Linked DNA regions of Callithrix jacchus. The protein of the gene in region 7 interacts with the protein of the main gene of each other region in a biochemical or structural test. Links are inferred from orthologs where the notes say so. Each region holds a gene or a part of one and is shown on either strand. Other genes may lie near its edges. The genes, in order: GAK, MAP2K6, RAB8A, MBP, RAB5B, EIF4EBP1 and LRRK2.

Region 1 (4,396 bases), on a different chromosome or scaffold from region 7:
CTTCATTCCATAAAACAGGTTAAGTGTTCCAATGAGCTGAGCCTATTGTCTTTTAATGATAAAGATAACAGATGTCAGCTTCTGGGACAGGTAAGATGCTGATTTGAGCTTTATAATCCATTTTTGAGTTTGAGAACAAAGACTCTACGCAAAGGTCTGCAACCTCAAATGACTATAGGGACCAGGCAGGTGACATACACGAGCCAAGCCAGCCAGGCAAATGACTGCGTCTTACCTGAAGGGACCGCTCTGGGTAACTGGTAACACACGTGATTTGGGGTCCAATATTGATAGGTTTGATTTTTCTACAGAAGCTGAAAAACCAGATTTTTAACGTTTAGGCCTTTCAGGTTTTTTTGTTGGTTTTTTTTGAGGCGGAGTCTCACTCTGCTGCCCAGGCTGGAGTGCAGTGGTGTGATCTCAATCTTGGCTCAATGACTGCAACCTCCACCTCCCGGGTTCAAGCGATTCTCCTGCCTCAGCCTCCGAATAGCTGAGATTACAGGCGTGAGCCACCGCGCCCGGTCTTTAAATGATAGCAACGAATTCACGTCCCGCTATCCACCCCCAACCCTCAAACACTGCTTGGGGCAAAAACTAAAAATGCATTTTCCGTGAGCCATTCCCTTATTACCCTATAAGGAAAGCCACCTTTTCATGTTGGGCGCTACGAACCCTTCCGAGTGGTTCAAGAGGACCCGCTTTTTGTCTTGGAAAAGGTGAGGGTGCGAACGAACCCTGAGGGTGACAGGGCAGCCTCTGCAGGGTGCGGTTGCCCAGAACCAAGGTTTTCTGGCCCCCGGCTCCCATGACTGGACGCTGCCCCAGCCCAGGCTCGGGCCCTCTGCTCGGAAGACGGGGGAGCGCAGCAGCCTTTCACCTGCAAACTGCCGCCCGGCTGCCGGGAGGGGGCCGCCAACCTTACTCGCTAAGCGTCACAGGAAACGCCGACCTCCAGAAGACAAGAACCAAGTATTTACTGAAGGCTGAACGGACGCTAACTCCGTGCTCCTCAGCCAGCTGAGAGAAGAACGCGCGAACCCATTTTTCTCCCATTGCTAACAGCAAGAGGGAAGCGGACTCCACCCGCTTGTGAGGCGCTTAAACCGGACACGGCCGAGAGGAGCCTCCCGCAAAACAGACCATGTGGGGAACGGTACCAGGAGCTGGGATGCGGCGCCGAACTACCTGGGCGGGAATCGCCCCGGCAACTGCTCCGCGCACCTCCGCTTGAGTCAGGCCAGCCGGGCGCTTGACGGCAGGAAGTTCGTCACGAGGCCGGCGACGCCGCGCACGCTCTGTCTGCATCAGCTCTCTGCGTCTGCGCGCGCAGCCAGGAAGTGAGGCCGCAGCGGAGGGGATGGGGCTGGGCCGCGACGCCTCCTGTCGCGACGCGCCCTCACGCGCGCCTACGTCACGGCGTCGGGGCGGAAGATGGTGCCGCTCGGGGCCGGCGGTTGCTGAGCGGACCCGGAGAGCGAGGCAGCTGGAGCCGGAGCCCGATCACTCCGGGTACCGCGGGGTGCGGCGCTGCCACCGCCATGTCGCTGCTGCAGTCGGCGCTCGACTTCTTGGCGGGCCCAGGCTCCCTGGGCGGCGCTTCCGGCCGCGACCACAGTGACTTCGTGGGGCAGACGGTGGAACTGGGCGAGCTGCGGCTGCGGGTGCGGCGGGTTCTGGCCGAAGGTGAGGCCCCGGGTCGGCAGCGCGGGTGCTGGCGCGGAGTGTCGTCTCCCGAACGCTGCGGGCAGCGTCAGCCCGGAGTGGAAGGGCGTGGGTCGGGGCTGGGGAGGGTCCCAGCGGGGGTCGTGGGTCAGGGTCGGCCAGGGGAGGGTCTCTGCCGGGGGCGAGGGTCACAGTGGGGCGTGGGTCCGTGCCTGCTGGTGGTGATTGCGGAGGGCGAGGCTGGGTTCGGGTCGGGTACTTCTTGTCCTAGGAGTAGGGTCAAGTTGGAGCAAGGCCTGGGGCTCGGGGACCCCCCTCAGGGTGGGTGGGGGAAGATGTTACAGTGAGGATGGTGGCAGGCAGGGAGCTTGGGTGGGGGCCTTAGCGGAGGCTGAGGGAGGGTGCCTAGAAGGCCAACAGCTGGAGTCAGGAGGTGAGCGAGCCGGAGGGGGGTTTAAGCCTTGGCCTGTTGCCTGACATCTAGGGTTATTGGGCAGGCAGGGACAGGGCTGGACTTTGGAGGTCCGGGCTGGTTCTTCTAGAGTCCAGGGAGCTTCAGAGTTGGTGGTTGCAGAAGCGTGGCAGGTAGTTGCGGTCGTAGCCTGGGGTTGGGTTGCTGAGGGTAGACAGGGCTGTGTCTCGTGATGTCGTGATGTCGTGATCCCGTGATCCCTTCTGAGCACCTCAGTGTTTCTCTTCCCCGTGTGATTACATGTGTAGCACGGGAAGCAGAGCTAGTAGTTGTGACCAGGTCGCTCAGCTTAAGTACTCTTGAGCCAGTCTCCAGTCAGTTTCGTTTCTGCACGCCATTTCTAGCTTCCTGAATGTTCTCTCCGTCTGTCACACGGAATCCATCACCAGCGTCAGTCGGTCCCGTTCTCTCTTGTGGATCTTCCTTGCTTTTTTGTCCAGTGGTGCCTGGGAGTGTGTCGCGTTTCACTGGCTGAACACAGTTGACTTCGGTGCTGAAACGTAAGTCTATTCTGCTGTGTTGGCACAGGGAGAGGGAGCGAAGCGGCGCGTTAGCCCTCACCCGATCCGTGGTACCTCTCAGGGCTGGAGGGTGAGCCTGTCCAGGTGGCCGCCCTGTGACCAGAGAGGAGACTGTCCCAAAATTCTGATCATCACAGGCTTGCAGAGACATTTTGACTGTAGTATTATCACACACTTTGTCTCCATTGTGGTCAGGACCAAACAGATTTCGGGTACGTTTTGGTAAGAAAGCTCTAAGCTCTTCTTTCAGAGGTGCGGGCCGAAGTGTGATATTCTTTCACATCTGTTAGAAGGCAGATTTCCCCCAGATCAACTCATTTATTTTGGAAATACTAGGTAGTCATCTTCATTCTTTAAGAAATCCGTAATGGACAGGACTTGGTTTCTGGAACTTCAGACTTGTGCTCTGGGGTGGAGAGACGAGGCAGCATGGGGACAGATCCTTGGAGGTTGTACAGACAGGGTGACCTCCGGGAAGGGGCCAAGCAGATGATGGCATGGATGGGGAGGGAGGGTGGAGAATGCACCCTCACTGGGGCCTGGAGAAGATTCATGTAAAGAAAGAAGCTTGTGGGTCATTTAGCGCCCAGGAAGAAGAACAAGGAAATGTGGGCGGCCGCTGAGGTTGTGCAAAAGAACTTGTTTCCCTTTGCTATCTAGGCGAGTCAGGAGATAAAAATAACCAATGCCATTCGGAGCTGTAGATTTCCTCCTTGTAAACTTAACAGGTGGCTTGCAACCTCCTGAGTACTTTGAAGGCTCTTTGAACTGAAACAGGGTGTGAAAATGGAATGATTTTAATTTACATAAACATATTTAAATAAGTTTTGTCTGGACAGCAACCTCAGAACATACGCTGTGGGAATTAGGCTGTCTTATGTAAACATGGCCATGGCCCCTGATCGAACGCTTGAGTACAGATGTTTGCAATGTCAGAATTTTTCAGGTTTCAGAGTGATCATTGCAGCATATAACCCTGTATATCATGGGATACTCCCAGAGGCGCTGGGAAAGTATTCTGTAATTGAAGACATTAGTACTTCTGTAATTAAATGAATAAATATTCTCACTGTGGGATAATTAAAGTCTGTAATTAGCCCTGTATCAGTTCATGTCAGGTTTTATCCCAAATGAGGTTATGATAGATTTGCTGTCAGATGAGTTTAAGAAAAAATGGTTTGCATATCTTTTAGGAATTTGGACTTGTGGTGTGAATGGGTTTTTAGGCAGAACTGTGGAACCAGATACCTTTCTAACTTCTTCAGATTTGTTCTGTCATCCTCTTTTTTTTTTTTTTTTTTAAGAGATGAGATCTTACTCAGGATGTATTTGAACTGTGTTCTAGATCTTCCTACCTCAGCCTCCTGAGTAGCTGGGGTAACAGGCATGTGCCACTGCACCTGGCTAGTTGTTTTTTTTTTTTTTTTTTTTTTTTGAGTTGGAGTTTCACTCTTGTTGCCCAGGCTGGAGTGCAATGGCGAGATCTTGGCTCACAGCCTCCACCTCCCGGGTTCAAGCGATTCTCCGGCCTCAGCCTCCTGAGTAGCTGGGATTACAGGCACGTGCCACCACCACTGGGCTAAGTTTTTGTATTTTTAGTAGAGACGAGGTTTCACCATGTTGGCCAGGCTGGTCTTGAACTCCTGACCTCAGGTGATCTACCTGCCTTGACCTCCCAAAGTAGTGTGTGCCTGGCCTAGTCTTCCTTGTTTTAAAAGGCAGATTATCAGAAGCACCA
Region 2 (3,706 bases), on a different chromosome or scaffold from region 7:
TGCAGGGAAGAGTATTTTCCTCCAAAGGTATAGATAAGGCGTTTTTTTTTTTTTTTGGTATGAGTTGTATCTACTTTTTTTTTAACCCTTAAGTCTCCCTCCACCCATTCTTCCACCATTTTTAATTTTTACAAAACTACCATGTCAACATCACACTTAAAATTAATTAATAATACTAATCTGCAGTCCAAATGTACTTTCTTCAACATCACACAAAATTAATTAATGATACTAATCTGCAGTCCAAATGAAAATTTCCTTGATCATCTCAAAGTGTGTATGTGTGCTTTATCTTGTTGGATTTTCAAATCAGCATCCCAATGAAAGTTTACGTATTGCATTTGGCTGTTATGACTAATAAATCTCTTTTATTCTATATTTTGTTGCTTTTAAAGAATTGTCCCTGAAAATCAAGGACCCAGAATTGAGAGAGAAAATTGTCTCCATTTGTGAAAAAAGGAGGGTAAAATATATCTAGAGTAAATTTGCATAGTTTTTGAGCTATTAAATGAAGTTTAAAATCATTTCATATTATTGAGTAGATGCTGGGAGGATTGTAAAGAATTAACATCTCTAGTTGAATTAATAGATTTGGGCCATTGTTAGGAATGATCAGGTGACTTGGATACCTTTGCTTTTGAAGAATGGAAATACTTTTATCTTTTAGATTTTCCAGTCTGTTCTTCTGCTGACTTTTTGCTGTAGGCAAAAAGTTTGAAGGCCTAGTGTTATTGTATGTCTCCTATCATTTAGTGACATAATCATGTTTCTGTAAGTCTACATTTGCTAGTGTGACAGATTTCTCTCAGAAGCACTGGGATAGGAATGAATGGTTTCTTCATTTCTGTTGAATTCCTTCTATTTCCTATAGCTGTACCAATTCTCTTGCAGTTGCTGTTTGCTCCAAATACTCTTACATGTTCCCAAAGAAGAGCTTTTGGCTTTTTATTTTCTTAGGATCCCAGATAAACAGCAAAGTAATTAATACTATGACCTCTTTGCACTGAACAGACATGAGAGTAAACTAGATTGTTTCTGTAACTTGGAAATACTTTCCAAAACATTTTATCACCCTCTAAAACAGTATCAATTTGTTTCTTACCAGTACTATTCAGGAAATCAAATGAGTAACATTCTTTCTTATTTTCAAATAGCTAATTGCTTAGGGTGGATATTCACAATGTTGTTGCTAGAAGTAGTGTTATGAACCGTATTATTTTGATGGAACTCCTTCAGGTCCCTGCCTGCCTCATCATCAGAGTAGTAACCATAAATTTTCCATGCATTTCCATTCAGCGGATCCGAGCCACAGTAAATAGCCAGGAACAGAAAAGGCTACTGATGGATTTGGATATTTCCATGAGGACAGTGGACTGTCCATTCACTGTCACCTTTTATGGCGCACTCTTTCGGGAGGTAGGTGACCCTTCAATTCGAAGTTCAAGAAGAGCAGTAAATGAAAAAGAAGTTCCTTTGATCATGTACATGCCATGCACAATCATGGAGCTCTTTCTTGTTTGACACATCTTGTATAGCGGTGTTTACATGTGTGCAATGATGACATGCTCTGGGGCGCGGTTGGATTGAAATTATGGCTTTTTTTTTTTTGAAACAGTCTTGTTCTGTCACCCAGGCTGGAGTACAGTGGCGCAATCTCAGCTCACTACAGCCTTTGTCTCCTGGGTTCCAGTAATTCTCCTACCTTGGCCTCCTGGGAAGCTGGGATTACAGGCGTATGCCACCACACATGGCTAATTTTTGTATTTTTAGTAGAGATGGGGTTTTGCTATGTTGGCCAGGCTGGTCTCGAACTCCTGACCTCAGGTGATCCACCCTTCTCGACCTCCCAAAGTGCTAGGATTACAGGTGTGAGCCACCATACCCAGCCTACATTATGGTATTTTCAAATGTGATTAGCCTTTTTAAGAAGCTGAGATTCTCTTCTCCTTTCTTTCTTGTTTTGTTTATCTTGGCAGAACTTTCTATATTGCCTATAGACTGATTTGCAAAGATCCCTTATAATTTGAAATATTCTGTTCTTTTGAATGCTTTATGAGCTTCACCTAACCTGCTTGTGTACTATATAGACTTACTTTGATCTCTTTTCTCTACCTCTGTTTTTCACTTTATCATTATATGGATTATGAGGCTTTGCCTCATTAAAACCAGGTTTTTGACTGACTATTGCTGGTGCTTACTGTGGGAAATCCTACATGGAGTAGGCATCTAGAGCTAACTCCTAGAGAGTGGTATCAGTAAAGGCTTGGATTTCTGGGGTTGTATTGCTTATATTTGTTAGTAATTAGGTTCAATTTTCCGTTGAGGGGTAGGAGATCACATGCAGGTTCTGCTCGGCTACCTACTGGTTTTCTCTTTGGAGATAACCTTGTTTATTTGTAAATTCCTTTATGATCTTGACAGAAAACAATCTATTTCCCTGCAAAATTCAAAAACGAAATAGTTAATTTTTCAGGACAGGTGTTTACTGTTGTTTTTTTTTTTCTCCTTTCTCCCTTTTTCATCTTTTTAAACAATTCCTGGACCAATTGGTCTCCAGGGTGATGTGTGGATCTGCATGGAGCTCATGGATACATCACTAGATAAGTTCTACAAACAAGTTATTGATAAAGGCCAGACAATTCCAGAGGACATCTTAGGGAAAATAGCAGTTTCTGTGAGTACATTATGAGCCTTACTGCATAGATAATGTGGGAAATAAAGTTCCTATGTGTCTTTATACCTCAGTATAAAGAAATACTACCTGGACCACAGCTACTATTTGTACATGTTTGTTGAAGTTCATTGGTGGATGGATAAATACATGCTTTCCTTTCTGAGCACTGTGTAGAAGATTCTAGCACTGCTTTGGTTTGGCAGACTCTTAAGTTAAATAACTCTAAGTGGTGCATTCATCAGCTAGGACCACATTCCTGGTGTCTATATTCTGACATTAGTTTATTTTGATTTTCATTTATGGATTTTTAAAGTGTTCTCTTAAGACTAGTAGGCATCGAAGGAAGCAGAGGAAAATAAATAGAAAGAAGATCTGATACTTTTATGGCTCTTCAGGCTCAGGAGGGTGTAAAGAAAAAGAATGAGGGCAAGTGAACAAGACAGATGAGGGAGACATCCTCTCTGATATAAGATATAGTCCTCTCTGGTGGATGGAGTCCAATTTGTGTAACTTCCTGTGTATTTTCCTAGATAGGACCACCACTATTTAAGAAAATATCTCAATGGTAACCTAAAGCCAAGGAAAATAAACCTTGATATACTTAACTTTCAATTTCTTTCCAGGGATGTGATAAATGAATCTATCTTGTATTTCTCTTGCAGATTGTAAAAGCATTAGAACATTTACACAGTAAGCTGTCTGTCATTCATAGAGGTAAGCATCCATGAGCTGCCTTGGCTGTTCCTTTGATAAAGTTCATTTCTTCCACCTGGAGTCCCTCCCTACCCCAACCCCCCATGGATGGAAGTAGAATTGACTTCCAACTAAGGCAAGAGAAATACAGGGCTTTCCCTTATGATTGGATAGCAAACAATGTAAGTAGTATCCCTTATTGTGGCTGAGGACATAAGAAGAAGACATGATCTTCATATTACACCAAAATTGACTATAAACCCTTGTTAGCAAGCAGAGCTGTGGGAGTACATCTTTGGAAATTTTAGAGAACATGATAAAAATTGATCTTGTATTGGC
Region 3 (4,187 bases), on a different chromosome or scaffold from region 7:
AAGAGTCTCGCTCTGTCACCCAAGCTGGAATGCAGTGGTCTCGAACTCCTGACCTCAAGTGATCTGCCTGCCTCAGCTCCCAAACTGCTGGGATTACAGGCATGAGCCACCAGACCCGGCTGCAAGCCCGATTTTCCTAATGTATCCCTCCTTTTCTTTTTTCGAGTGTCTCGCTCTGTCGCCCAGGCTGGAGTGCAGTGGGGCAATCAAGGCTAGTGGAGCCTCAATCTCCTGGCCTCAAGCGATCCTCCGCCTCGGCCTCCAGAAGCGCTATGATCACAGGCGGAAGCCACCGCGACGGTCTGTTTTTTCAATGTTGAGAGGACCACCAGACACAGAACCGCCGACCCTAGATAGGACCCAGCATCCTCACTGCCCTAACCCGCAAGGCTGGCCCGGACAACCCCTAAGGCGGCCGAGGGCGGGCCCTGAGGGGGACGGCGCGCGCCTTGGGGCACAGCTCGTGGCGGTGACGCCGCTCAGGTGGCGGAGAGCTTGGGTATCTCTAAGCAGGTTGCCAAGCCACAGCCGAGACCTCGGATCTCGCCTCGGGGGTCACTTTTCGATTATACAGCGCTTCCTCTCTCCTTCCTCCCTCGGCTCACGCTGCCCCGGCAGACCACAGACGTATAAAAAAGCTCTTCAGTCCTTTCCCGCGCTCGCTTCGGCGCCTACTGAGGCTGCGCGAATTGTGAGGGCGAGACCCAGAGATACCCTCCCCAACTATGCGCGTGCGCCCTCTGCTGGCGCCTAACGGACCTCCGGGTGCGCGTGCGCACGCACCCCAAGCCCCGCCCACAGACTGTCGGCGCGCGAGCCGTTGGCGCTGCTCGCTGCTTTCCCTCTCCCATTTTGGGGCGGGGCCGGGCCGCCGAGTCTGTGGTGGAGGCAGGGGCCACATAATGCCACGCCCCCGTCTCGTCCCCCTTTGAAGCCCCTCGACTCTTTACTGCTGGTCAATCAGAGCCCGTCCTCATATCAGTGCTGGCCAATGGGAGGTACGCTCGGGCTGCTTCCGGCTCCGCGCTACGCTCGCCCCCTCCCCAGGTCTCCCCGCGGCGGGCGGGACTCAGGGGCGAGTGTCGGCCGCGGTGACACGCTGCGGGCCTGGAGCCAATAAGGGGCGGGCTCGGCGCTGATGGACGGGGCTGGTGGCCAGTGGATAGGCGCTAGCTGCACTTCCTGTCGGGGAGAGAGTGTAATATGGCGAAGACCTACGATTACCTGTTCAAGCTGCTGCTGATCGGGGACTCGGGGGTGGGGAAGACCTGTGTCCTGTTCCGCTTCTCCGAGGACGCCTTCAACTCCACGTTTATCTCCACCATAGGTAGCGGGATCCGGGAGTGGCTAGGGGCGCCGGAGGCCCGGGCTGGGCGCGCCCCTGAGGGGCTGGGGCTGAGAAATCTACCCTGCTGGGCGGGCCGAGGGCTCTGAGAGGGTCGAAGGGAGAAGAGCAGCCGCCTGCACCGCCGTTTCGGGGTTCATGGGCCGTGGCGGGGGAGACCAGGTGCCCATTTTGCAGATGGGGTGACTGAGGCTCCCATCCTCAGCCCGCTCGTTAGGGAGTGTTATGTCCTGGGCAGGCGTCTTCGCACCCGTCCTTTCGGTCTGTCCTAGCAGCAGCCCTCGAAGCGGTTCTTTTGCGGTTCCTGTCTTACAGAGGTGGAAACTGAGTCATGAGGAATTGGCTGTGGGAAAAAGACGGTGACATGTCGCCTTAATGAGCAATTGCTATGTGCCAAGTCCTTCACGTGCATTTCCACACTCTAGTTTCGGTGTTTTAAGTGCTGTTATGAGCCCGTCTCACAGATGAGTAATTTGAGGCTCAGGGAGGGCGTGGGACTTATCCAAGGCCACACAGTCTGCAGGTGGTGAGAATGGGATTTAATGGAATTTAATCCTGGCTGTGTCTCACCCCAAAACTCGAGGCTTAGCTCTTCTAGAGAGTTAGCACCACACACCCCTGGCTGATGACAAACTCAGTTAATGCACCTTGGAGCCGGGACTCTAACTCACACCATTCCTCCTCTTCTCTGGAGCATCCAGAGGTTGAGTCCCTCTCCTTGCCATGTTTTCCCCCATAAGTGTATTTTCCTCTAGAAGAAATGATAAGAGGAGTCAGGACCTTTTCCCTGCCTGCCTTTTATCCTGCTCCAGGATGACAGCAATGGCAAGTGACAGTGCTGCCTGCCCTGGGACCTGTCATCCCCAAGAAGATGCAAGATAAAACCCTCAATGAGAAACTAAATCAGCCACTGCCACAGACAGCCTTGACTTCCCTATCAAAGGGCCCAGGACACCGGTTGTCAATTTAGAACAGCTTTTCCCGTAGGGCCAGCCCACATCGTGGTTGAACAAAATTGGCTTGTTGTGATGTCTCAGTTGTGATGTCCACAGAAGTAGAGTTGACCTCTCTCAGCGCCACAGAAGCAGTCCTGGCCCACGATGAAAAGGTTAGACCTGGGAGTAACACCGATCAGAGTGGCCTGTGAGCTCTGCAGCCCTGCTAGGGATGGGGATAGTGAGGGAACGGTCACTAAGTCAAGGAGTTTATTCAAAGTCAAGAAAACATAGAGAATGGCCTTTGCTTTATGTGTGACTTCAACAGAATCGTGTTATCTCCCTAAATCTCATGATAATGTGCCAATTCCATTCTTGCCCCCCTCGAGGAGCTGCACTTTATGAAACAGTTATATGCCAGATGTAAAGTAGAGAGAATTAACTGGAAATCATCATGTCTGGTTCCTAGTTGCTGCTGGCCCTTGAACGTGCACTACCCCTCTCTGACCCCTGCTGTCTTCAGAGCAGGAGTGACGCTGTCTGCCTGGGCTAGTGCCCTGGTGGTTGAGGACTAGAATTAGACAATAAGGGGTTGTCATCACAACCAGAGGCCATCTAGAGAAAACAAATGAATGGCTCCTGTGGTGACAGCTTCCACCCTCTGAAGACAGATGTTTCTGAATTCTTCCCCCTCCCCCACTCCAAGGCCAAGCTTTAGGGTAACCCTTGTGCCCCAGCCAATCAAAAAGTGGCTTTAATTCAGCCTGGACGACAGGGCAAAACCCCATCTCTGCAAAAAATCAAATGAAATTAGCTAGGCATAGTGGCTCACCCATGTAGACCCAGCCACTTAGGAGGCTTAGGTGGGAGGGTGGATTGAGCGCAGGAGGTCAAGGTGCGGTGAGCTCTGATGGCGCCACTGCACTCCAGCCTGGGCAACAGAGCGAGACCCTGTCTCAAAAAAAAAGAATACAACTGTGGGCAGACTGTGGCTTGCATTTACCCAGTTCCCAGTTTCCTAGCCTCAGCACCTTCCCCTCAAACCCCCTCTTTAGAGTTACTTTAAAGCTTTAAAGAGGCCATCTTCCATTTGCAGATGAGGATATGACTTGGTGAAAGTTAACCTAGCAAGGTGACCCCAAGATCCCTCCCTCCCACCCCAGCGTTCCGCTCCTTCCATTTGTAGCCTTCTGTCTTCTAGGAAAGTCTAATTCACCGTGACCTTGAAGTTCAGGCCTCATAATTCTTAGGTCTCATAAAGTTTGCACTTCCTAATTAAATTTGGCGTGTTAATAAAACCCAGCAGGAGTGTAGGGCAGAGCGCTACTGTGGAGCTTAGCCAACCTAACAGTGCTCCTTGATTTTGTGTGTCCCTGTGCACGCATGGCAGGAGGTGGGGTATGCTTTAGGAAGCCTAGGCACACTGGGCTGTCTAATCCTGAAGCAGAATCTCTCAATGCTTAAAGACAATTCCATAAATTAGCCAGACGTGGTGGCACTTGCCTATAGTCCCAGCTACTCGTGAGGCTGAGGCAGGAGAATCGCTTGAACCCAGGGGGCAGAAGTTGCAGTGAGCCGAGATTGTGCCACTGCACTCCAGCCTGGGCAACAGAGCGAGACTGTCTCAAAAAAAAAAAAAAAAAGCGATTCCGTGTTGGCTGAGGGCACCTCTGGGTTTTCTTTATAGACCAAGGATTGAGTGGCTGTTCATTTTCTGCCACTCAGTCCTTAACATTTTGCCAAAAGTAACATATCGCCAAAATCTATTCTCAGAAGCCCCATCGATCATTTTGTGGTGTGAACTTGGCCCTGTGGCTCCCTGGAATGGGTTCTCACCAGCCTGGCTGAGTGCCACTGACTCCTCAGGGGCCCATTCATTCCTCCAGTGACAGGGTTGGCGTGTGAGA
Region 4 (4,292 bases), on a different chromosome or scaffold from region 7:
GCAGGCAGGAAGGTGGCTCCGCCTGTGGAGTCACGGAGATAAAGCCAAGAGATATTTTGGAGAAGAAAAGCTGTTTCTGATGTTAAAGCAGGTATCCAAAATAGGACCCAGTGTTCCAGCTTCCCGGCCTGGGCTTGAGTGACTTGAGCTGGGACCCGGGTGCACCTGCATTCACTGTCACCACCCGTGCTCCTAGGGCAGCTGTCCAGCCTCCCACACCCACTCGCTCATCCTTGACTTAAAGTGAGGTTGTGGGGACGGAAAAATCCGAGAAGCACACTTTACCTCTGACACCCTTTTCCCTGCCCCTTCTCACCTTCAGCCTCAAATTCCTAGAACCCTCCTGCCCTCTCCACTTGAAAATCTCTCCTGAGGAAAGGCCCAGACTAAATGCTTTGTACCATCGTCTAAATATTTCTCTTCAGTTAAGCAGCATTTGAACACAGTTGCTAAATCTTCCGGGTCTTCCGGGGAGGCTGGTTTTAGGCCGCAACCCCGACCCCCGCTGGAGCCGCCTCGCAGCGCGGCCCGGACAGCGCTCAGTCCTCTCCCTCACCTCCTGACGAACTGTGGGTCCCAGGCTGCCTCCGGAAGCCCCGGGTCCAGATCCCTGAGTGGGGGTGCAGGTCAGGAGGAATGCGGGGGCTCATTCGGGGACTCCCCACCTCCTCCTCCTCCTCCATCAGGTGACCGAGAATCCAGGGAAAGATCTCCCTGACCACCAACTGTGTGTGCAGGTCAGTTTTTCTGTTTAACAGTAGAGTGACGAAGACCACGACGCCTCCGTGCCGCGGGACCAGGCGGCTTCCCCGCACCTGGCGCGTTTGGCTGTCTTGTCCGCGCGGACTTCCTGCGCCCCTCCTGCAGGCGAAGGTGCGCTCCCGGCGCCCAGCGGAGCACCTGCCGGCCGCAGGTGGGCCTGGGCGGGGCTGCAGGGGAGGGAGGGCGCGCCTGGGAGGACCTGCCCGCTCCTCCCGCCTCCAGGGCGGGCTGACCCTCCTCCTGCAGGGTCGGGGCCGCGCCAAGTCCTTCAGCAGTTTCTGGGGTTTCCAGCCCCTGAGGACAAGGGGAGATGCGGCCTCGCTCCCCTCCGGCAAGGTCGGGGTCCGGGTGAGTTCGGAGGCCGAGCCACGGGGGAAGGGTCTCGGGCGAGGCTCCAGGCCGCCCCTTCTCCGAGGCCCGACCCTGAGCGTGAATCCCGTGCGACCCCCCCCCCCGGCTCCGAACTCCGCGTGGGCAAAGCGGGCCCGGGGGCCTCGGAGCTTCCCGGGAGGCCGCGTCGGGGGTGGGGGGACGGGCCCGGCGGGCTGGGCCTGTGTTTACCTGGCGCGCAGGAAGCCCGGGGAGGCGGGGCCGGGAGCGGAGTGCGCGCCCGTCCCTCGGAGCCGCCTTCAGTCTCCGCCGCCGCGCACCCGCGAGAAGCCGCCTCCCGCCCCGGCGGCCTAGGGCTCCCGACCCCGGAAGGCGGTGCAGGCTGTCTGGGGACCCCGCGAGCCGGCGCTTGAAGCCGGGACCTGCGCGCCCGGGCCTGGGACCCCGCGGCACCCCTCGGCCTCTGAGCAGCGAGCGCAGCGCCGGTGAGTGACCCTCGGGGGCGGGTGGGGGGCGGCTCTGGCGCCTTTGTCTCCGCGCCCCTCCGAGCGGGGACCGCGGAGACCTGGGCGGGTACCCGGGGCCGATCCCCGCGGGAGCCGTGGACTGAGAGTTGGGAACAGGAGCTGTCCCGGCGCCCGGACTCCGAGTCCCTTTCTCGGCCGAGAACGCGCAGGGGGAACCTGGGCAGTAGCGCAGGTGACCGGGCAGGTGGCAGCCGGGGGCCCCTGACCCGAACCCACGGCCCTGTCCCCGATCTCTACTGCGAGGGGGCGGGCGCGGGTGTAGACTCGGGTTTACTGCGCCGGGGTGGGATCCTGACAGGTGTCCAGGGTGGTCTTCAGCCAGGCCCGGCGTCCCGGGGTCGTAGAAACCGCTGGGCCTCGGGCCCCGGGGCTGAGGGGAGGAGTCTCGGGTGGGAGGGACGGCGGTCAGAAGCGGCCACTCAGGTGCGGAGAGGGTGCGGGCGGCGAGGGCGCGCTGGGGGGTCCTCCGGGCGCCTGCCAATCACGTCCCGGCTGCTCCCCCCCGAGGTGAAGCGCAGTTTCCCTCCGAACTCCGAGAGCGGCGGCGAGAGCCTGGGTTTGGGCTTCCGCCTTCTCGCGGCCTGTCTCGGGCTCCTCGGCTGGCCAGTCGCTGCGCCCACCTGGACCCACGTGCGCGCCCGCAGCTGCCGGTCCTCCCTCGCGGTGCTGAGCGCTGGGCTCGCGGGGCCGGGGTCTCCCCGGCTGCCCCTCCCGGGCCCGACGGCCTGTCCTGGGCCGGGGGCGTGGGGTGCGGGGTGCCCCCGAGGCCGGCGTATGTGACCGCGCAGTCATTTGCCGCCACCCTAGGTCTTCCCGGGCGCCGGGGGCAGCGCCTGTGCCCTTTCGCGTCCACCTGAACCCCCTGTTTCGGGAGGTGGAGTGGGGCTCGGGAAGGGGTTCAAGTGTCTTTAGGGATCCCTGTGCGACTCTGCCTGGAAACAGGCGCGTTCTGGTTCCTTGTTCCGTTTTCCGATTGCAACAACGTGAGAATCAACAAGTGCTCGGCTTCTCTGCGGGTGGGTGAGGGGCGCGTGGCTCGCCCGGCTTTGGGAGGGCGTGGACTTCGTTCCTGGGAGGTCTCTGCCTCATCTTGACCGCAGAACGCCCCGCCTGGAGAGAGAGCTTTTCAGAGGAAGGAAAGGTCAGGGAACAGCCAGTGTGTGTTTTGGACATTTTATTTGGTGAAGCTCCGGGGGATGGGTTAAGGAGGGTCACGCTCATGTTAGGGACCACATGGATGGAGTAGGGTCCTGAACTGAGCTCCCTGGCGGCCACCTCCAGCGATGGGTGCCTCCTTAGCCTCCTTAGCGGTTGGGACCCCGGGCTATGGATACGGCTCAGAGCCTGGAACCCAGCAGCCCTTCAGTAGAGGAGGGAAGGCCATGATCTGAAACCAGGCCGGCAGCCAGGGAGGGGATGCTCCCACGAGCCAAGGGATAAGGCACCACGCCAGAGGCTTTTTTTTTTTTTTTTTTTTTTTTATCAAGTGGGTTAAACAGAAACCTGAGTGAAAAGAATCCAGTTAAAAATGGTTGTAAATGCTGGAATAACTCTCAGGGAGTTAACTGTTCTCGAACAACCACCTCTGTTAACTCCGGGTTAAACAAAGCTATTCTGTTGTCATCTTCTTTGAAAACTCTCCAGAAGTATCGCAATTCTGCCCAGCGATAAGGAAGTGAAACATGCGTCACTTGATATAGATCTGGCAGCTCGTGGCTCCAGCTTGATTTGAAACGTCCGCTTTGAGTGTGGTGGGTCCCGGCTGTGGGCACTGATGAAAGGTGGCCACCGAACGCTGGGGGGAAAAGAGACCAGCCTTTCTCCTGACGTTTCTATTTCTGCCTGAATTTGTAAATGTTAATTGTAAGTTATTTTGTTTGACTTTTATCCCCAAGTTCTTTAAAAATACAGAAATTATCTGGGCGTGGTGGCAGGTGCCTTAATCCCAGCTACTTGGGAGGCTGAGATCTCTCGAACTTGGGAGGTGGAGGTTATAGTGAGCTGAGACCATGCCATTACACTCCAGCCTGTACAACAAGAGCAAAATTCTGTCTCAAAATAAAAAATAAAAAAAAGACATGCTTAAGATTAGCAGCTGCCTCTGTGCCTTTTCTGACCCCAGGGAGTGTTTATCGAGCACTTGCACATTGCCAGGCTCTCTTCTGAGAGCTGTTTGTCACCTCAGTTAACAGTTGTGATGGCCCTAGATACCCTCATTGGAGGTCACCGTGCTTTTCATATCTTCATTTTGACTGATGAGGAAGCAAGGCCCAGAGAGGTTAAGTTAGTCTAAGGGCACCCAGGAAGAGGCAGGATTCTGCCCAGGGAGTCTGCACCAGCGCCTCACTGCTGCTCTGCCCCGCTGTGGTGAACAGAATGCCTTGCAAAGGTGCTTATCATTCCTCCTTTTAAACTTCCACCCCTAATGATGAGTGGCGTGCACCCAGGGATGTTTCCTTTCAAGAATCATTTGACCAAAAGGTTCCTGTCATCCAACTTTGTTCATGATCCTCTCCTTAGCTTTCTTAGTTGCCAATGAAAAAGAAAGTATTCTAATTACTAATTACTCTTTTTTTTTTTTTTGGACGGTGTCTTGCTCTGTTGCCTAGGCTGGAGTGCGGTAGTGTAGTCTCAGCTCACTGCAACCTCCACCTCCCAGGCCCAGGTGACTTT
Region 5 (3,706 bases), about 28 Mb from region 7:
CAATGGGCAACCCCAGGCCAGCAAAATATGCCAGTTCAAATTGGTCCTGCTGGGAGAATCTGCAGTGGGAAAGTCAAGCCTGGTATTACGTTTTGTCAAAGGGCAGTTCCACGAGTACCAGGAGAGCACCATTGGAGGTGAGTGCCTTGGGGTAAGAGGATATTCAATGCTTGGTAAGGCTTTTTTCTTTTTCTTTTCTTTTTTTGAGATGGAGTCTCACTCTGTCTCCCAGGCTGGAGTGCAGTGGCGATCTCAGCTCACTGCAACCTCCATCTCCCTGGTTCAAGTGATTATTGTGCCTCAGCCTCCCGAGTAGCTGGGATTATAGGTACACACCACCACAGCGCCTGGCTAATTTTTATATTTTTAGTGGAGAGGGGAATTCACCATGTTGGCCAGGCTGGTCTCAGGTGATCTGCCTGCCTTGGCCTCCCAAAGTGCTGGGATTATAGGTGTGAACCACTGCATCCAACCAGTAAGGCTTTTGAAAAGAGAACTAGGACCTCATTATGGAGCTGCCCCTCTTAGTCCTATTCTTTTCCCCAGGAATGGAAACCCTTTATAAAAACAGAGGCCAGGCCCAGTGGCTCACGTCTGTAATCCCAGCACTTTGGGAGGCCAAAGCAGGCAGACCACCTGAGGTCAGGAGTTCAAGACCAGCCTGGCCAACGTGGTGAAACCCTGTCTCTACTAAAAATACAAAAATTAGCTGGGTGTGGCAGCGGGTGCCTGTAATCCCAGCGACTCATGAGGCTGAGGCAGGAGAATCGCTTGAACCTGGGAGGCAGGCGTTATAGTGAGCCATTGTACTCCAGCTTGGGCATCAAGAGCAAAACTTTATCTCAAAAAATTAATATATAAAAACAAAGAAAAATAATTGCCATAATGCCAAAAAGCTGGTATATGTTCATCCTTTTGCTTCCTAGAAGAAACAGAGGTTGACTTTTGCACACCAAGAAAATCCATTTTTTTTATGTCTGTCTGCCTCTTCCTACTCTGTTTATTGTCTTAATACCAGTGAAGTTGAATGTCATCTTGAGCAGATAAAAGTTGGTTTGGAGCCAGGCACGGTGGCTCATGCCTGTAATCCCAGCACTTTGGGAGTCTGAGGCGGGCAGATCATGAGGTCGGGTTCGAGACCAGCCTGACCAAAATGGTGAAACCCCGTCTCTACTTAAAAATACAAAGATTAGCCGGGTGTGGTGGTGCCCACCTGTAATCCTGGGAGGCTGAAGCAGGAGAATTACTTGAACCTGGGAGGCGGAGGTTGTGGTGAGCTGAGAAGCATGCCATTGCACTCCAGCCTGGGCGACAGAGCGAGACTCTGTCTCAAAAAAAAAAAATTTGGTTTGGAGCAGTGATTCGTAATCAAGAATGTATCAGAATTATTTGGGGGAGCATTTTCAACCTATTCTTGCTGGGGCTAGACCCTAGACCTACTAATTAGTATTAGAGGTAGGTTGAGGTTGGTAGTGACAGCACATGCATGTTTTCGGAAAAGCTCCTTAGGTGATTCTCATCAAAGTATCTGGTAAAATAGGCCGGGCATGGTGGCTCACACCTGTAATCCCAGCTTTTTGGGAGGCCAAGGCAGGCCGATCGCTTGAAGCCAAGAGTTCAAGACCAGCCTAGTTAACATGGTGAAACCCCATCTCTACTAAAAAATACAAAAATTAGCTGGATGTGGTGGCATATGCCTATAATTCCAGCTACTCGGGAGGCTGAGGCAGGAGAATTGCTTGAACCCAGGAGGTGGAGGTTGCAGTGAGCCAAGATTGTGCCATTGTACTCCAGCCTGGGTGGCTAGAGTGAAACTCCATCTCAAAAGAAAAAAAAATTAGCTGGGCATGGTGGCACACACCTGTAATCCCAGCTACTTGGGAGGCTGAGGCAGGAGACTTGCTTGAACCCGTGAGGCAGAGATTGCAGTGAGCCAGAATCACACCACTGCACTCCAACATAGATGAAAGAAAACAAAAATGAGGTGAAAAAAAAATCTGATAAAATAGGAGCTGGAACTAATGCAAACTATAAAGGGTATCTGTCTTTCCCATCTTTGCTACCTTTTCCCAGCTACTACCCCAAAATAGGGTGCTAATTCAATAAAGCATCTTTTATGGGAACTTCTATATTATTCCTTCCCTTTTTACTTTTATTTATTTATTTTGAGATGGAGTCTTACTCTTGCCCAGGCTAGAATGCAATGGCATGACCTTGGCTCATTGCAACCTCTGCTTTTCAGGTTCAAGTGATTCTCGTGCCTCAGCCTACTGAGCACCTGGGATTATAGGCATGTGCCACCACCCCTGGCTAATTTTTGTATTTTTAATAGAGACAGGGTTTTGCTGTGTTGGCCAGGCTGGTTTCAAACTACTGATCACAGGTGATCCAGGTGATCCACCCACATTGGCCTCCCAAAGTGCTAGGATTACAAATGTGAGCCATCATGCCCAGCCTCTTTCCCCTTTTTATTAGTCATCTTAGAAATGTATTCCTGGACCTGCAGCAGATTATATGAAAAAGTAACAGCCAAATAATATTAATGATGGTACTTGCCATCAAGCTTTAAAATATTCTTATTCTTTTTTTTTTTTTTTTTTTGACACTGTGTCTCACTTTGTCACCCAGACTGGAGTGCAGTGGTATGATCTCTACTAACTGCAACTTCTGCTTCCCTAGTTCAAGCAATACTCCTGCCTCAGCCTCCCTAGTAGCTTGGATTACAGTTGTCCACCACCACGTCTGGTTAACTTTTGTGTTTTTAGTAGAGATAGGGTTTCACCATGTTGGCCAGGCTGGTCTTAAACTCCTGATCTCAAGGTCATCTGCCCACCTTGGCCTCCCAAAGTGCCGGGATTACAGGCATGAGCCACCGCACCCAGCCAATCTTCTAATTAATTCTTGATGTGACTTTTGTCTGAAGCTATTGTCTTTGTCATTTGTTATGCTCCTATTTTGGTTAGAAGGATGACTCATATAAGTGCGAGTTCTTCTATCCCTCTTAGTTTATGATGTACCCCCATTCCTTAGCCAGAGACATTTCTGGCAGGATGGACTTAGCCAAGGGCAGTCTTAATCGTGGTTCCAAGACTTACATGTAAGGAGAACTCAAAACCTTTTCCTATAGCTGAGTATCCTGCGGGGGTGACTGGTCTTAGAGTGAGGGTAGTTATATTTTGAAGTGGGGTATGTTCCCATTCATCCTCTCACTTACAGCATCTTCCCCTCCTTTCTCTTATCCATAGCGGCCTTCCTCACCCAGTCCGTTTGTTTAGATGACACAACAGTCAAGTTTGAGATCTGGGACACAGCTGGGCAGGAGCGATACCACAGCTTAGCCCCCATGTACTACAGGGGTGCCCAAGCTGCAATCGTGGTTTATGACATTACTAATCAGGTAAGTGAGTTAAGAGGACTGTCCTTGCTTATATTTAGAGGAATTAAATTAGATGGAGTGGGTGGGCAGAAAACATGTTCTTGAAATAGCAAATAAGAGTACAAATTATGCTTCCAAGTGCTAAGAAGACAGAGAAAATGAATTATCAGAGACCAGTGGTTTCAGTAAGGGAAGGCCACCTGAAAGAGGTGAATTTTGAGACTCATTTTAAAAGGTGATAGATATGGGTTGGCAGTTATTTCAGTCTACTCATTCTCTAAATGTTTTCCTAGGAAACCTTTGCCCGAGCGAAGACATGGGTGAAGGAAC
Region 6 (4,138 bases), on a different chromosome or scaffold from region 7:
GCTAGTTAGAAATGCTGACTCTAGGCTGGGCATGGTGACTCACGCCTGTAATCCCAGCACTTTGGGAGGCAGAGGCGGGCAGATCACTTGAGGTCAGAAGTTGAAGACCAGCCTGCCCAACATGGTGTAACATCCGTCTCTACCAAAAAATACAAAAATTAGCCAGCATGGGTGGCATGTGCCTGTTGTCCCAGGTATCAGGGAGGTGAGGTGGGAGGATCGCTTAAACCCAGGAGGTGGAGGTTGCTGTGAGCCAAGATCGCACCACAGCATTCCAGCCTGGGCGACAGAGGAGACCCTGTCTCAAAAAAAAAAAAAAAAAAGAAAGGAAGGAAGGAAGAAAGAAAAGAAAGAAAGAAAGAAAAGAAATGCTGAATCTAGTCCCCACCCCCACCTACAGAATCAGAATATACCTTAAATGAAGACCCCAGTTATCCTTATGCACCTGGAAGAGTGAGAGGCAGTATTCTGGTCTGGAGCCAAAGGGTCCCAGGATGTGACCATTTCAGCTTCTCTGCCCTGGCAGAAGTGGGCTAAGGTGGGCTTTGGAGGAAGAGTCCACACCTTGGCTAATCGAGGCTGACCAGGCTTGCTTGACTTTAGTAGAAGTAAGCCGGATTTCCCTGGCTTAGGGACTGGGAGCTGTACCTGCTCCACAGGCCGCCCCAAAGAGTGAGCTGGCTTTAGGTTCCTGGCACTGCTAGCTTCTTCCAGTAATCTCAGAAACATATGCCATGTCCCAATGCAGAAGCCCCTTCTCCCTTCCTGCTACTGCTAAAGACCTTCAAAGTGAGTGGGATTTGCTGTCAGCCCCCTGACTACTCTCCACTTCCCAATCCAAAGTGAAAAGTGGATTCAAAGTTCCTATATTTTACATTTATTATTTATTTTAGAGATAAGGTCTGCAGTGGTCAATCATAGCTCACCACAGCCTCCAATTCCTGGCCTCAAGCGATCCTCTGGCCTCAGCCTCTGGAGTAGCTAGGACAACATTCTTTTTGTTGTTGTTTGTTTTTTTTTTGTAGAGATGGCATCTCACTATGTTGCCCAGGCTGGTCTTGAACTCCTGGCCTAAAGCAATTCTCCTGCCTTGGCTCCTCCCCAAAATGCTGGGATTACAGGCATGAATCTTGGTACCTCGGCCAGAAGTGCCTATAAACAGTATCCCTGGCTTCTAATTTGACCCAACAATCCAGCAACAAAGGGTGCAAAAAGAGGCTCCCTGTTCCTTCAGGCCAGCCTCAGGGCCCACCCTGAACGAATCCAGCAGACACTTACCCCCTCAGTTGAAAGAACTCCAAAAGTGTCAGGAATTGGCCTGGTAGACCATTGTGACAGAGACAAAGGAGAACAGCATGGACTACAAGTGAAAGAGGATGAGTCGGGAGTGGCAACAAGAGCGCCTGCAAGCTTCTCCTCGGATCATTTCTAACAGAAGAGGAAGCATTCCTCCTTTCTCTGCCTGGTTGCTATTTCTTGCCCAATCTGGGAAAACGGTGTGACAATGGACACGTGTTCCAGCTCTGAGGCCTCAGTGCCTGGCTCTGTAGAACAGGCGGCAGAGTTGGACAAGATCCCTAACCGTTCTAACAGTGTATGTTTTGGATCGAACGGCAGAGGACCTCGGATCCGGCTGTGCTTGCTGCCGGTGGGGCAGAATCTGCCTGAGAAAATAAGCATTTGGCCCCCACCGCCACCGAGCCAAGCGCCGGGATCTGTCGCGTTTTCCAGTAGTTTGGAAAGCAGCGTGGAGGAGGATGGAGGCAGAGGAGCAAAAGGAGTGGGGGCAGTGCAAGGATGGGACCGAAGTGGTGAGCCACGAGGATTTATTTCATCATGCAAACAGGAGCGTAGGTTTCATCAGCGCCTGTGCGCTGCGGCTCCGGGGCTGGGAGGGAATGCCAGGTTCCTGAGGGCAGCCCGAGGCTGTCCACCCCACCCGTGCCAGCTCAGCTTCCTCTTCCTCATCCTCTCCCAGGGAGGTCACACGGTGCCTCCTCCTCCCCCCGGACAGAAGAACGTGCTTTTCTGCACAGCCCGGCCCGTGGCGACAGGCCCCTCCGCGGAGATCTCACTTGCATAAATGGGGAACGTGCCACAGGTGCCCGGGAGGTGCTGCTGGAGCAGGGGAGCACCCGCAGACCCAAACCTCCGTCAGAGCGCGAGTGTCCAACGCAAAACTAGGGGTGCCTCGGGAAAAAATCAGGGCCCTGTAGAAATCATTTATCCCAACAGATAAATAATAAATTTATCCCAACTCATCCCATAAAAACACCAGGCCGAGCCTTTCTTGGATCGTGGGCCACACTGACCCCGCCCTATCCCGCCTGGGGAGCGCCCCCAACATCCACAAGGGGCAGCACAGCTCGGCACGTGGCAGTCCTGGAGGCGTGCTTGTTAGTTAGGTGTCAGCTGTCTGACACCTAACAGAAAGAGGAAACGAACGGGGCAGTTTGCAGCTCCGGTCTGGACGACGCACTCGGAGGACAGCCGGGCGGTCACTTCCATGACCCTCGCTGTCTCCCCGACGCCCCTTCTCCGTTCTTCCCAGCCACAGCACCCTTTAGCCTGGACGCCCGGTCCGATCCGCGATTCCCAATCCTCCCGCCCTCCCGGGAGCCGGCACGCGGCGTCCCCGAGCCAGCGCCTACCTCCCGGGGTGGTGCTGAAGAGCGTGCCTCCGGGGGTCGTACTGTAGTCCCCGGGCGGGAGCTGCACGCCGTCGCCGAGCACCACCCGGCGAGTGGCGGGGATGGCTCGGCTTGGGGTCTGGCTGCAGCTGCTGCCCCCGGACATGGTCTCCTGTGCGCTGCAACCGCGAACCTCTCCCTGCCCTCCCGCGCCTGCAGCCTCGCTCCGCCTCGCCCCGGCCCGCCCCGCCCCAGGACGCCCCTTCCGCCTCTCCAGGCCCACGCCCCTGGGATTTGTAGTCCGCGCCGCAGCCCCACCCAGCTCCAGGCCGCTGCTTGCACGTGGATTCTCCTGCCGCCCCCCGATCCACGCCCGCCTGCTCACGGGCTCCTCCATACCGCCCCCCAGCGACTGCTCCTCCGCTCTCGGGTCCCTCGGCGCCACTCTGGCAGGGACCCGGGTTGGGTGGCGGGCGGAATAGCTCGCCTATGTTAATCCTTGTCTGGGTTGGGGGCGGTGACTCAGGACCGCGCGGAGATCCGAGCTGACCCGGCCCACTGCAGGAAGGCCCGGTTTCTGCATTAAGACTTCAGGCCGGGTGTACCCTTTGGCACTCCCTGTTCGTTGCCTCAGTTCCTCAGATGAGAAAGTGGGATTGACTGGTCATGCTCACCCCACCTCAATTTCTTGACCTTGATGGGGATGGGTGTGGAGGGACTAACAATTCCGCTCCTGGCCTTTAGAGAGGAAGAGAAGGGGTGGGAGGAGTGAACCAACCAGCAGCGTCCTGGGAGCTAAATTTAGAGTTGGGGGCGGCCGGGAGGGGGGACGCGTAGGGGAGGAGTAATAGTTTGTCCAAAAGGTTTCCCGATAGCCCCTGAATTGGGTCCAATACCCACGCCACTGCCTGAGGTTTAGTAGGTACTTCTTGGTTGAATTGACGGATGTTTAGTAGGTACTCTTTGCTGGATGAATGGATGCATGCATGGATGATGTTCAAGGGGAGAGAGAAAAATGCAAGAAGGACCGAGGATGGAAAAACTTGTTGGGTTTGAGAAGTTCCTATCATTGTGTGCACATGTTGTGGGGAAGAGGGTGAAGAAGAGAGGACGGTTCGAAAGGGAAATTGGGTGATGCACCTGTAATCCCAGCTGCTTAGGAAGCTGAGGCTGGAGGATTGCTTGAGCCCAGAAGTTGGAGGCTCCCGTGAGCTGTGATCACACCACTACACTCCTCCTTGGACAGAGACCTTATCTCTAAAAAATACGTAATAATTTTTCAAAAAGGAAATTGGGGTCAGGTCGTTGAGTTTTTCAAATCATGTCAAAGTGCTTGGACGTTGTCTTAGAGAGGCAGGAGACATCAGAACTCTTTTAAGCGGGGGAATGACATGATTAGAGTTGTTTTTTTGGAACGATAACTAGTGGCCATTGGAGTTTTGGGATGGGCCAAGGAGGGCAAGGTCCGAGATGGGGAGAGCTGTTGAGTTTGGTCTCACTTTTTTTTT
Region 7 (3,706 bases):
AGGGAACTATTACGTGTCTCATTTCAAAGGTTAGAAGCACTACTTATTTTCCAATAAATATTCAAATTCAAATATTAAGATTCACTATTTTCATCCAACTCCATATTCAAGAGATTATGAAGCCTTATATTCATCAAGAGAGCAAGGCCATTGTTATATGTGGTGTAAATTTATAAATTATCTTAGACATGTTGATATAGTAAAATATAGAGAGATATAATTAAGAGGTTAGTTTGTGTGTACAAATTAAGAATTCATTTGAACATTTAAATTATTTATTGCTACTATTTTTTAAAAGAGAAATTAAGACTATATTATATCAGAACGTGAACTCAGCATATCAATAATGTTTAGTTAGTTCCAATTCATGAAATTTTAATCCCTAAGTTATAAATTCCAAAAGATAATCTCTAGTCTATTCCTGCACAGCATTGTTTGGCTTTACATCGTTGGGAGAACACTGAACTGGCCACATCTAGAACTTTGTATGTATTCAAGAAAAGCTGAATAATCTTCATTTGGCAATTGCAGGAACTAAATGAAGTTGGTCTTCAATTCTCTGCCAGCCTTCCTCCTACTCACCCTGCCGTTACCTCTCCCTATACCATTCCCACTATTTCTGACTTTGTAACCACAGAAGAAATTTGTCTTCAGTACTGGGAAGTCTTTGGATGGAAAAAGACTTTGCAAAAAGAGAAATATGTTTTACAATCAATTTTTGCTGGGAGTGCTCTAATACACTCCACTGGAGAGAGCAGTGTGTCTATCTTCTTCTCAACTGCATTGTTTCTGCCCTAGAGGAGGGCTTAAAAAACATTCAATTAATAGAAGATGAATGACTGAATGAACAAAGTGAGTGAATGAAATCTCCTACATAAACATTTATGTAATTTAATTTGAACAGTTGGTTTGTACAGGAATATGACTAGATGAGTTTTCCAAACACTCCCTGGGGCTATAGGTTGGCTCATTTTGACATCTTGGAAATTCTCAGCCAAATCAAGGGACACTTAAAGTTACAATTCCTAAATACTGGTATATTTTGAGTAATTCCTCATCAAATGCTGTACACTTTAGAACTGACACATAGAATTACAGACGTTAGATCAGAGAGGAGAACTCCAATTAATTGTAAATATGCTCTTTCCAAAACACATCCTTTATGTGCTAAAAACAAGAAGAGTAACACATTTATCAAATAAGGGAAAATACATAGGCACAGATATGTTCACTTATGGACAAATGCACAGCTCTAATTCATCTAAATTTACAGCACCACTTGATACTGATTAGCAATACAAACATGTAAAAGGTTTACATAAATTAAATTTTCATAAACCATATACCACTGGAAGCCAGAAATATTCACAATTTCCTTTACTGTGGTAAAGAAAAGTCACATTCAGTATAAAAAAGATTTAAAGTTAATAACAGAAGGTTTTTTGTTTGTTTGTTTTTGAGAGTCTCACTCTGTCACCCACGCTGGAGTGCAGTGGTGTAATCTCAGCTCACTGCATCCTCCGCCTCCCAGGTTCAAGTGATTCTCCTGCCTCAGCCTTCTGAGTAGCTGAGAAGATATTTTAACTGTCAAGAAACAAAGCTATCCAAAATGTATTTTCCTGGAAACATATTCTCCAGAAAACATTTTCTTAATTAATTATGGCTAAGGCAGTAATCTCATCTAAGAAGACATTATGCTGCAAACTGCAAAAACATAGCTGGTAAAATTGCCATCAAGATTTGGCTGCAGATGTGCTGAAAGGTAATTTCCTCTTTTTGAAACCCATAGTTTAAACTCAATGTATATATATGAACATATAAATGTACTATTTAAAGATGGTAGAACATCAACTTTCAAATTACTGCTTACAGAACTAACTTTTCTCAGTTCCCATTTTTTTTAAGAACTAGTGGTTTGTATCAGTTCTATTATTAAAAAGCAAACTGTCTTCATGGTTTGAATTCAAAAGTACTCATCAAAACTCTACAACTTGGCCCAGCACAGTGGCTCACACCTGTAATCCCAGCACTTTGGGAGGCCGAGGGGGGCAGATCACGAGGTCAGGAGACCAAGACCATCCTGGCCAACATGGTGAAACACTGTCTCTACTAAAATACAAAAAAATTAGCTGGGCGTGGTAGCCCACGCCTGTAGTCCCAGCTACTTGGGAGACTGAGGCAAGGGTATACCTTGAACCTGGGAGGCAGAGGTTGCAGTGAGCTAAGATCATGCCACTGCACTGGCCTGGTGACAGACCGAGACTCTGTCTCAAAAAACAAGAAAAAATCTACGTATAAATCATACAGTATAATTAACTGTATGATTATATTAATAAAATAATAACTCCTGACATGTTACCTTTCTAAATCAAACTTCCGAGTTTAAAGCTCTCTATAAATGCAAGTCATTGACTCAAGGAAAAATATCTGTATTTTAAAGAATTTAACAAGAGTAGCCTTGAATTGCAAATACAATGTATCAAGGGAAGGTTGCTGTGAGTATAGATAAATATTCAAGGCAGTTTGTTTTTACATATCTATCATACTTACTGGTGAACACCAAGGAATTCCCAATCATTTCCAACATCCTGGGGTCCCATTAAGCTTTGCATTGTACCTGGACAGATTTCTATTAATTTGCATAAAAGTGACCAACCCACCTGAAAACAAGAAAGACATATATTCACTTTTTAAAGAATGTTCATAGAACATACCCAGTCAATTGTGAATCTCTTCATTCTTAGTGAAATAGATGCTTATCTCACTTGTAAATAATAGATGCTTATCTCACTTGTAAATAATTGTCATAAAACGAAATGATATCCTAAAATGCTTACCAAGAAACAAAAGCAAGCCATATCCTTAGGATACACCTTTCTCCAAAAATCATACCAGAAGGGCATACAAAATACATAACGTTTCTAAATTAAGAAGGACATAGACATGCCTACTGTCTAAATAAGGCAAAATAAAATAAAGTATAAAAAAAAAGTTTTAGAGATTGTGCCAAGTTTATTAAGTGCAAGAATGGCTATAGAATCCTTAGTACTTTTTTTTCTTGGTTTTTTGTTTTCAGTTTTGGTTTTGGTTTTGAGATAGAGTCTCACTCTGTCACCCAGAGTGTATTGCAATGGCACAATCATAGATCACTGCAGCCTAGAACTCCTGGCCTCGAGTGATCCTCCTACCTCAGCCTCCCAAGTAGCTGGGACTGCAGGTATGTGCCACCACACCCAGCTAATTGTTTTTATTTTTTGTGAAGACAGGGGTATTCCTATGTTGCCCAGGCTGGTCTTAAACTCCTGTGCTCAAGCAGTCCTCCTGATTTGGCCTCTCAAAGTGCTGGAATTAGAGGCATGAGCCTCCACACCCGGCCCTTAATAAGTTTTAAGTCATATCCACCTGACAGAATTTCCTCCACATATTTAAATTTTAGTTATATAAAAAAATGAAGTGGCTTAGAATGAAGGATTAGGGGATGTTGGAGATTTTAATAGCAATTTTAAATGGCTGCTCCCCAAGTAATGAAGCTGGACTAATAGAGGCAATAAATATGGCACTTTAAGCAATTGAAACTACATCTGGTAGGAGAAAAAGATAAAGGCTGTATAATGTAGACAGGAGGTAGAACTCCTCAATGGCTCCCTCTAGCTTTCTCTAGAATTAATTGATAAGGTCTAGAGATCACAGACAACCCTAGTGTAGG

What was found.
Region 1: the proteins of LRRK2 (region 7) and GAK interact on a protein array, tested with the Homo sapiens proteins (3 studies listed by BioGRID and IntAct, with this or other methods). The link is inferred for Callithrix jacchus from reciprocal best matches to the Homo sapiens genes LRRK2 and GAK.
Region 2: of the proteins of LRRK2 (region 7) and MAP2K6, one has a biochemical effect on the other in vitro, tested with the Homo sapiens proteins (2 studies listed by BioGRID). The link is inferred for Callithrix jacchus from reciprocal best matches to the Homo sapiens genes LRRK2 and MAP2K6.
Region 3: of the proteins of LRRK2 (region 7) and RAB8A, one has a biochemical effect on the other in vitro, tested with the Homo sapiens proteins (2 studies listed by IntAct). The link is inferred for Callithrix jacchus from reciprocal best matches to the Homo sapiens genes LRRK2 and RAB8A.
Region 4: of the proteins of LRRK2 (region 7) and MBP, one has a biochemical effect on the other in vitro, tested with the Homo sapiens proteins (6 studies listed by BioGRID). The link is inferred for Callithrix jacchus from reciprocal best matches to the Homo sapiens genes LRRK2 and MBP.
Region 5: of the proteins of LRRK2 (region 7) and RAB5B, one has a biochemical effect on the other in vitro, tested with the Homo sapiens proteins (2 studies listed by IntAct). The link is inferred for Callithrix jacchus from reciprocal best matches to the Homo sapiens genes LRRK2 and RAB5B.
Region 6: of the proteins of LRRK2 (region 7) and EIF4EBP1, one has a biochemical effect on the other in vitro, tested with the Homo sapiens proteins (3 studies listed by BioGRID). The link is inferred for Callithrix jacchus from reciprocal best matches to the Homo sapiens genes LRRK2 and EIF4EBP1.

What each region holds. Positions count from the first base shown.
Region 1 is NC_133504.1:192,270,924-192,275,319, forward strand, and holds the start of GAK (cyclin-G-associated kinase), read left to right. Parts: upstream 1-1,424; 5' UTR 1,425-1,541; coding exon 1,542-1,686; intron 1,687-2,377; exon of another isoform or gene 2,378-2,637; intron 2,638-4,396. UniProt on the Homo sapiens protein: Associates with cyclin G and CDK5. Seems to act as an auxilin homolog that is involved in the uncoating of clathrin-coated vesicles by Hsc70 in non-neuronal cells. Expression oscillates slightly during the cell cycle, peaking at G1.
Region 2 is NC_133506.1:125,528,479-125,532,184, forward strand, and holds part of MAP2K6 (dual specificity mitogen-activated protein kinase kinase 6), read left to right. Parts: intron 1-1,296; coding exon 1,297-1,416; intron 1,417-2,557; coding exon 2,558-2,674; intron 2,675-3,336; coding exon 3,337-3,388; intron 3,389-3,706. UniProt on the Homo sapiens protein: Dual specificity protein kinase which acts as an essential component of the MAP kinase signal transduction pathway.
Region 3 is NC_133523.1:14,726,703-14,730,889, forward strand, and holds the start of RAB8A (ras-related protein Rab-8A), read left to right. Parts: upstream 1-1,189; 5' UTR 1,190-1,203; coding exon 1,204-1,327; intron 1,328-4,187. UniProt on the Homo sapiens protein: The small GTPases Rab are key regulators of intracellular membrane trafficking, from the formation of transport vesicles to their fusion with membranes.
Region 4 is NC_133514.1:119,560,769-119,565,060, reverse strand, and holds the start of MBP (myelin basic protein), read left to right. Parts: upstream 1-1,393; 5' UTR 1,394-1,577; intron 1,578-4,292. UniProt on the Homo sapiens protein: The classic group of MBP isoforms (isoform 4-isoform 14) are with PLP the most abundant protein components of the myelin membrane in the CNS. They have a role in both its formation and stabilization.
Region 5 is NC_133510.1:63,686,614-63,690,319, reverse strand, and holds part of RAB5B (ras-related protein Rab-5B), read left to right. Parts: coding exon 1-137; intron 138-3,245; coding exon 3,246-3,397; intron 3,398-3,669; coding exon 3,670-3,706. UniProt on the Homo sapiens protein: The small GTPases Rab are key regulators of intracellular membrane trafficking, from the formation of transport vesicles to their fusion with membranes.
Region 6 is NC_133514.1:38,881,693-38,885,830, reverse strand, and holds the start of EIF4EBP1 (eukaryotic translation initiation factor 4E-binding protein 1), read right to left. Parts: upstream 2,859-4,138; 5' UTR 2,797-2,858; coding exon 2,652-2,796; intron 1-2,651. UniProt on the Homo sapiens protein: Repressor of translation initiation that regulates EIF4E activity by preventing its assembly into the eIF4F complex: hypophosphorylated form competes with EIF4G1/EIF4G3 and strongly binds to EIF4E, leading to repress translation.
Region 7 is NC_133510.1:35,484,493-35,488,198, forward strand, and holds part of LRRK2 (leucine-rich repeat serine/threonine-protein kinase 2), read right to left. Parts: intron 2,661-3,706; coding exon 2,551-2,660; intron 1-2,550. UniProt on the Homo sapiens protein: Serine/threonine-protein kinase which phosphorylates a broad range of proteins involved in multiple processes such as neuronal plasticity, innate immunity, autophagy, and vesicle trafficking.